Linked DNA regions of Oryzias latipes. The protein of the gene in region 1 purifies or fractionates together with the protein of each later gene. This does not show direct contact. Links are inferred from orthologs where the notes say so. Each region holds a gene or a part of one and is shown in the gene's direction. Other genes may lie near its edges. The genes, in order: ift27 and ift57.

What was found.
Region 2: the proteins of ift27 (region 1) and ift57 purify together in Homo sapiens (co-immunoprecipitation; 3 studies listed by BioGRID and IntAct, with this or other methods). This does not show direct contact. The link is inferred for Oryzias latipes from reciprocal best matches to the Homo sapiens genes IFT27 and IFT57.

Annotation. Positions count from the first base shown.
Region 1 is NC_019859.2:24,935,381-24,939,204, forward strand, and holds part of ift27 (intraflagellar transport protein 27 homolog), read left to right. Parts: intron 1-1,725; coding exon 1,726-1,785; intron 1,786-2,252; coding exon 2,253-2,312; intron 2,313-3,494; coding exon 3,495-3,612; intron 3,613-3,824. UniProt on the Homo sapiens protein: Small GTPase-like component of the intraflagellar transport (IFT) complex B that promotes the exit of the BBSome complex from cilia via its interaction with ARL6. Not involved in entry of the BBSome complex into cilium. Prevents aggregation of GTP-free ARL6.
Region 2 is NC_019875.2:10,097,815-10,101,867, reverse strand, and holds the end of ift57 (intraflagellar transport protein 57 homolog), read left to right. Parts: intron 1-495; coding exon 496-618; intron 619-732; coding exon 733-804; intron 805-1,745; coding exon 1,746-1,877; intron 1,878-1,956; coding exon 1,957-2,019; intron 2,020-2,478; coding exon 2,479-2,545; intron 2,546-2,656; coding exon 2,657-2,838; 3' UTR 2,839-3,476; downstream 3,477-4,053. UniProt on the Homo sapiens protein: Required for the formation of cilia. Plays an indirect role in sonic hedgehog signaling, cilia being required for all activity of the hedgehog pathway.

The DNA of each region.
Region 1 (3,824 bases):
GAAAATAGTTCATGTCTAGAAATACAAAATCCAAGCAGGTTCAGGTTTAGTGTTGACGTGTGTGTGTGTGTGTGTGTTTAAGGCCTTGTTTAAAGTTCAGTGAAAGCTTTGTTTGTTGGTAAATGATTTGGTGTGGTATTAAGTTGCTCTCTCTAAAACCTCTCACAGTGCAGGCTGACTGACTTAAGGTACTTTTACGCAGAGGGATTAACACGGTCACCACACAGATCATCTGGTTACACGCTCACACGTGCTTCTTTGGCAAGAGCGGCTGGTGCTAAGTTATGTAGTAGATTCTAAATGTATTCATGTTATGCATGTAAATAAAGTTTTGTGATCCTCTTCATAATTCCCTTGCATTCACACTTCCTACTTTAAAGCAACCTCTATCTTTAGTTAATAACTGCTGTTTGTACGTGACTAGAATCTTGTGACACCACATCTTTCATATATTGGAATAGAGAAAGAGTGAAATAGTGAAAATGACTACAGCAGGATCTGTACTTAACATGTACTTAATAAGTCAATAAACCACATGGAGAAATGCAGTAAGTGCAGTTAGTCTGTCACTGGAAAAGCATGTTTATCCTTTCACGTTTTGTGATGCTAGTTTTAGGTTTTATGTTTCTATACATAACATTTGCAAAAAAAAGGAAAATGCTTTAAATGTTTCCAAGTCCCATTTTCAAACATCTTTTGATCTATTTTAAACGTGTTTCCAGTTGTCTTTTAATTATGATGATATAGTTCTTAGCCAAAATTTAAAAAGCTGTTGTTTTCTAGGACATAGTCTCTTGCAGAACGGCAGCAGTTTATTAGAAATTTGCCCCGGTTGTGGGCAGAACCACTTAAAAATACAATTTGAATCTTAACTTTCTTTTTTTTGTCCTCCATCATCAGAAAAAATTCACAAAAACATGTTAAAAACACCAAAAACACAAGTTAAATGACTTCTTTTGATAACATTTTTATTTGTTTATGTGATGTAGATGTTGTTGTTGTTGTTGTTTTCAATGATGTTTTTGTTAATTAAAATAGTTGTGGTTTTCTTTTCAGTTGTAAAACTATGATAAAAGAAAGTCCTCTCACTGCTCCTGTTTTTTCACTTTTGGTTTTGAAGGGTAGCCAATTCCGTAAGTCATTCTGCTTACATCCTCCTTTGAAAATGCCAGACAGCCTGTTAGCAATATTGTACGATATTTTTCGCTAACAGAACCTCATTGACATTCCACAGAGAGGCCTCCTGTGCATCACAGCAGCTCATTAGACTGCTGTGGAGTGGGGCTGCAGTATGCTTCTCTTGTGCATCTATGTGCACAAGAGGCAAAAGTTGGGTTAATGCAAAGTTGTGTATTACATTTTATGCCGCTGCCAAAATCCTTTTAAAACTTTTAGAAGTTAACAGTTTGCCATCCGGTATTTGTTTACGTAATGCATTTACCTCCACTGAACACACATGAAGCTCACACAGCATTGCAGCAAATTGATTTAAAACCAAAAATATATATATTTCTACCAAAGAAAGTAACAGTCAGGGAACACAACCAGCTTTCTAGTAATTATTAGCAAACCCTTTTCTTTTTAATCAAAAGCTTGCATTCATAATATCTTAATGCAGGCATGTCCAAATGCTGCCCGTCATTCTTAAGAAAAAAATACTCTAGATAAAATAAAGGTATTTCCCTAATAGCTCTGCATATAAAAAACCCTTTTTCTGTTTTTCAGACAACAGGAGTGGAGCTGGTGGTGAAGTGTATCAACATCCCAGAAACTCCACACAGCGTGGTGAGCATGGTCTCCTCTTCTTTCATAGCAGCTCTCAGTCTGTGGTTTTCCGGTCGGACAGTCAGTGCATCTGTCAAAAAAACCCGTCTGAACTGAGCTACAGGAAACGGAAGCATGTGGTTGCAGTCGGTAAATAAATGTATTTGTCTCATTTTATTTTTTCATTTAGCTGAAAATTTGACATTGTACTTGTCGTATAGATTGTATGATACTTCAGAGGACTAACACAAAATAACAGACTGCTGGTTTGCCTAAGATGAGTTTAGCACTCAGCTGGTTCACCTCTGTTTTATTTATCTTAGGGATGGATGGGGTGCTGATATCTAAAAGTCAGTTTCTCATTTGTAGCAGCATGGAGGGAGGAAGAGAAATGCTTCTGCCAGAAAGACAAGGAAATGGGAAACTATTTAACTAAAATTTTCTTTGTAACACATCTCGTCATTTTTCTTTGCTCCTTTCCTCTACAGGAGTTCTACATCTTTGACTCTGCAGGGAAGGAGGCCCTCGTGGATGCCTGTGAAAAACTGGTAAGGCTGCTTCTCTGGAGGTTTTTTCCGTTGTAGCTACCATACCCGTTCGGCCTGGAACCTCTCTTCAGGGTCCTTTCGACTGAAGGTAACGTCCCACTACGGTAACCCCACTTGGACAAACTACGTAACGTCGAGATCTGCTCGGGCTCTACAAATTTTCCTTTCACGTTCCCTTTTGTAACCTACAGTTATTTTCCCTCATAAATTGTGTCTGACAATATTCTTTGTAATTTTTATAAAGAGATGTGGCCACAATCCGCTTGTCTTTTAGCTTGGCTAAAAATGTTGTCAGCTAAATGTTGTTCTTCCGAGTCCGTTCTGTCAATAATAAAGCACTGGGCGCACGGATTGAAAAAACTATAAGCGAACATGCATTCAATAATAATAATAACAATAACAAAGGCACTTTAAAAAACAATCTCGCTTTATGTCAGAGATCTGTTTGTTTGCAACAGACTTCATAATATTTTCTTTTATGGTAGTATCCTAATTTGTCCAGACCAATCACTATCTGACACGTCATCGGACCAACGCACAGCCAATCACATAATGTGACGTCAGCATTAGTCCCAGGACCCTAAACGCAAGTTCCTGGCCAAACGGTTATGGTACCTACACCGTCTTTATAAAATGGTTGTTTTTTTTTTCATGGAGAGCTCTGCACCCACATAAAATGTAGAGCCAGAAATCTGACCCAGAGGACGATTAAAGGAGAAAACCGATGTGATACTATCAATCCTCAAATTTATCGTTATTGTGATATCAAGCTGTGCAATACGCATATCGCAAAAGTTAGTGAAAATTGCAATAAATGGTTACCTTAAACTTGCTAAAACAATGTTATGGCAGATTGAAATATTTAACAAATCAAATAAATCCCTTCATGCATTTGACAAATCGGATTGGCTCTTTTAAGTTATTGACCAATCAAATGGAGCCCCTTTATGTAAGATGCTCACCTCTATGTAGACAAAGGTCATTTGGAGCATAATTTAAGTTATTTTAACTCTTATCTAAATTAAACTTTTGCAGTGAAATGGAAATGATGTATTTAGTTGTTTTGCTGTTCTTTCTTGTATCACAAGTTATATCGTCATCGAAATATTGATCACTAATATCGCAAATCGCAGGTTTTCCTCATATCGTGCAGCCCTAATGGACATTCATTTCCTACAACAGTGGGGTGAACCTTCCCTGTTTTGCCTCGTTTTTGATTTGACCAATGAGCAGTCATTTGTCAACTGCGGCCGTTGGTTGGAAAGAATCCGCCGACACTGCAGAGGTTTTCGTGTTCCAGGTAAGACACCACATTTATTGAATAATAAAATTAAATGGCCAAAAAATAAAATCTCAGATTTTTTGCAGACCAAATTCAATTTTAATAGATTTTTTTCTCTTTCCCTTCATGTTCTTTAACGAATATTAGAAACGACAGAAAATATTTACCAAAAACTATTTTATTTTAACATCTCCTTTGGAAATTGGCTAAAACCCAAAATTCAACTAAAT
Region 2 (4,053 bases), on another chromosome or scaffold:
ATGATGACTTTGATCGATTCGGTCCTACCACTCTGACGTCCTTTGGTTTCAACGTGGCGGCATCCGTTATGCAAAAAAAAAAAGGCGACTGAATTGACTTCTTTTGGTTGGGGCTGGAAGTGAGGCATTTTCTACCACAGGGGTGGGCAATTCCAGGCCTCGAGGGCCGGTGTGTCTGCATGATTTCAAGATAGCCTTTCCCTACTCATGGCTGATTACCTGGTTCAGGTGTGTCCAGCCAATAATCTTGCCCTACTCATGACTGATTACCTGGTTCAGGTGTGTCCAGCCAATTAGAACATGCCAGAGCAGGGTATGCTGGAAAACATGCAGGAATGCGGCCCTCAGTGCCCACCTCTGTTCTACCAGGTGGCTCATAGAAAGACGTCTCACTAGCTTAGTCCAGTTCTCACACACTCAATGGTCAGATCCTTCACAGAGGCTGTTCCTCTCAGAGAGGAGTCGAGCTCTTAAACCAGACCTACTGTCTGACAGGAACCAGAACTGTCATCCAAACCCGAGGAGATCTTGGAGGCGACTGTGGATGCTGCAGAGTGGAACCTGGAGGTGGAGAGAGTCATACCACACCTGAAAGTCACCATCAGGAACGACAATAAGGTTCAAACGGAGGATTTCTATCTACTAGCTGTCAGCGCTGAGGCCAGTTTTCTGCTTTAACATAACGCTCTTTCCCATCATGCCGTGGTGTGTTGCTTTTTCCGTTTTCTGCAGGACTGGAGGGTCCACCTGGAGCAGATGCATCAGTACCAAGACAAAATCGACTCCCTGTTCAAAGAGTCCAAGGTTCGTTCACAGACTGTAGAAGAACCGAGCCATACTGCTGACAAAGTCCAAAAGGTTCTGATCAGACCAGAGACCAGGACTCATGACACACCAGATCAGACCAGAGACCAGGACTCATGACACACCAGATCAGACCAGAGACCAGGACTCATGACACACCAGATCTGGCTGCACCACACTTTGGAAAACAAACCCCAGAGTCACATACAGTTCAGACTGAGATCCTTGTGTGTCCTTGGAGTAAACTAGGGCTGTAACGATTCCTTTTAATGACGATTCGATTCATCTCATCATTTGTGGTTTCTGATACGTTTCATTGTTGATATTAGTTTCTTTTGAACGATCCGATTCACCGACCTAAAATCGATCCAGGACATCTTTAGCCAAAAATGTAACCAGTGTGACTCAGAGATGAATACCTGGCTACCGAAAAGGGCAGGTGAAGTTTTTCCACATTCTGTGGATTTCTTGCAAGATAATCGAGTGTAAATTAAATATGTAAACAAACAAACAAGAAATGATGGAAAATTCATTCACGTTTTAGTTTGATAAAAATTCAGCCCACTGTTGTTTTTCCACATCACAATAACACAAACGGAACAATATTAGAGCATTCTTCCACACTGAATGGTCACATGACTTTGAGTCTTTCCACACATTGGACTGGAATGATGGGCTGATCATTTCATGCTGACATCACATGTGTGTTGTTCTGTGTTATCCTTAGTTGTTTTAACATTATAGTAAAAGAAAGCTACCATGTCTCAATCCAAACGGTATTTTCTTTAATTTTGAAAGGATTCTATAGGTCGATTTGATTTCTATTAACAATGTGCCTTAGACAGATGGATCTGGTTGGATTGTAGGAATAGGAATCGATTCATCAATGAATCGTCACACCCCTAGAATAAACATACTTATGATCTTCTCTCTGGCTGCAGAGCTACATGGACAAGCTGCAGGAAGACATCGGAAAGACTCAGGAGAAAGTGAGCAGCAGGGAGAAGTACATCAACAACCAGCTAGAGCTTCCGGTGCAGGAGTACCGCAGCGCCCAGGCCAAACTCAGCGAGGTGCACACACACACAAACACACAAATGAGACACCTCAAAGAGTTTCAGCTGCTGACCTTATGTGATCCTCAATCTGCAGGCCAAGGAACGCTACCAACAGGCCAGTGGAGGGGTGACCGAGAGAAGCAGAGTCCTGGCTGAGGTCAGTGAACGCATCACCAAGTCAAACAAGATCATTGATTAGGATAAGCAGCAAACCAAAAGATGACTAAAGCCATTAAAACTATTTAGAAGCAGTTATTTAAAATAACTTAAGATAAAATAAACACTTTGTCATCATTCAGCTGTTGCACCATTTTTAATAACTGTAATCTTAATGACATAGCTATAAAAGTCCTGTGTTTTAACTTTGTTCTTTACTACAAAATAATCAAAATTTTTATTTTGATTGTTAAAAAATGTTAAATTGGGGTACTTGTGATAAAGTTTATCTTTATCCCTATGATGTTTTATTTTGAAACATCCAGTTTTTCTTTTTTTAGTTTTTACACACATGGAAGGTTTTTCCAATTTATCTTCCATGTGCAGTAATGCCTCTTTAAAGCTGATGAGCCCTGCAGATGCATCTCTGTGAGACCGCAGGATTGTTTCTCTGCTTCAGATCAGCGAGGAGCTGGACAAGGTGAAGCAGGAGATGGAGGAGAAGGGCAGCAGCATGTCGGATGCAGGTGAAGCAGAGGCCACTGCTGTGCGTTTGTCTTCTGTGTCTCTGCTTGCTGTGAGTCTGACCCGGGTACTTTGTGTGTGTGTGTGTGTGTGTGTGTGTGTGTGCTCCTTAGCTCCGGTGGTAAAGATCAACCAGAGTCTGACGAAGCTGAAGCAGGAGATCGTGCAGATTGACTTGAGGATCGGCGTGGTGGAGCACACCCTGCTGCAGGCCAAACTCAAGGAGAAGTCCAACATGACGCGCGACATGCACGCCACCAACATCCCTGAGCCCACTGCAGGGCCCTTCGCTTAGCAGCACTCACGGACCGGGTCAAACCGGAGCCAGTTCTGATCTGAAACAAAATGGTCGTTCTTTCAAATCAGTTACAAATGAAACATTTATTGAAATTTCAAACATTTATTTTTTTACTACCTTTAATAAACAAATAAACACACCTGAACTGCAAAAGTCTAAATCATCTGGACCCAGAAAATGTTTACATTAATTGGAGCCAAATGAACACTAGAGGTCACTGTTACTGCACTGAAATCCAAATTCGTTGAACCTTTACTTTGAAATTTTTGAAAAAACATGTACATAAACTGTAGTTTTTGTCAGAAATGACAAACATATTTAAGAAGCAGGAAAATAAATCATCGAGAAGTACAAAGAGCTGCTTTAGTGTTCTAGTAAAATGTCGAAAGAAATCCCAGTTAGTTATTTAGCAAGTTATACCAACACTTGTCAGGGCACTATTCCTGAGCCCTTATCCTGCCTTTAAAATAAACAAGGATTTTAATTTTTTTATTTTTTGCTTAGGATAGAAAATATGTTGAGACTTGCTACTGTTCAATAAATCCACTTAAATATTTCTAACTTAAACTTGGTAAGTTTGGCTTTCAATGTTCTCTGCTTTTTAACGCATGGAATAAATTTACTTTGGAGAGTCAAACCGGAAGCAGCATGTTTTTTTGTTTTTGTTTGACAGCAGCTGTTTGTTCCTTATGCGCAGGCGGGGCGTCGTCACACTGTCGGGTTTTCTAAACCATGTAATTATTTAAAAAAAATACTACAAAAGAACAGAAAAACTAAACGAAACGGAAAAAGCAAGAGATTGGCGGCTACAGGAAGATTTTCCTCCACACTTCCGCTTAGTAATCCAGAAGAAAAGCATCGGTGAGTTCATTCTTTGTTTCTGTTTTGCTGAAACTGCCCATCGAAAACTCAAAATGAGATAAATAACTCCGCAAAAGCCTTCCGCTTGACTTTAAGCTTGTTTAAAAGAAAAGTGAAATCAAAATTATATTTCAATAAACACGTTTTAAAGGTGATTAAATGATACAAAACAACCGTGTCCCTTATATTTTATAGCTTACAGAAATGTTGTGTTTATTATTTTCGTGCCTTTTTCCATACTTTATACCCTTTGCACACAGGTTTTTATGAGATATTTTAAAAACAACGTCATGGATAAATGCCGGAATTTAACTAAAAATAGTATAAAAACGTTAACTTGTCATATAAAAC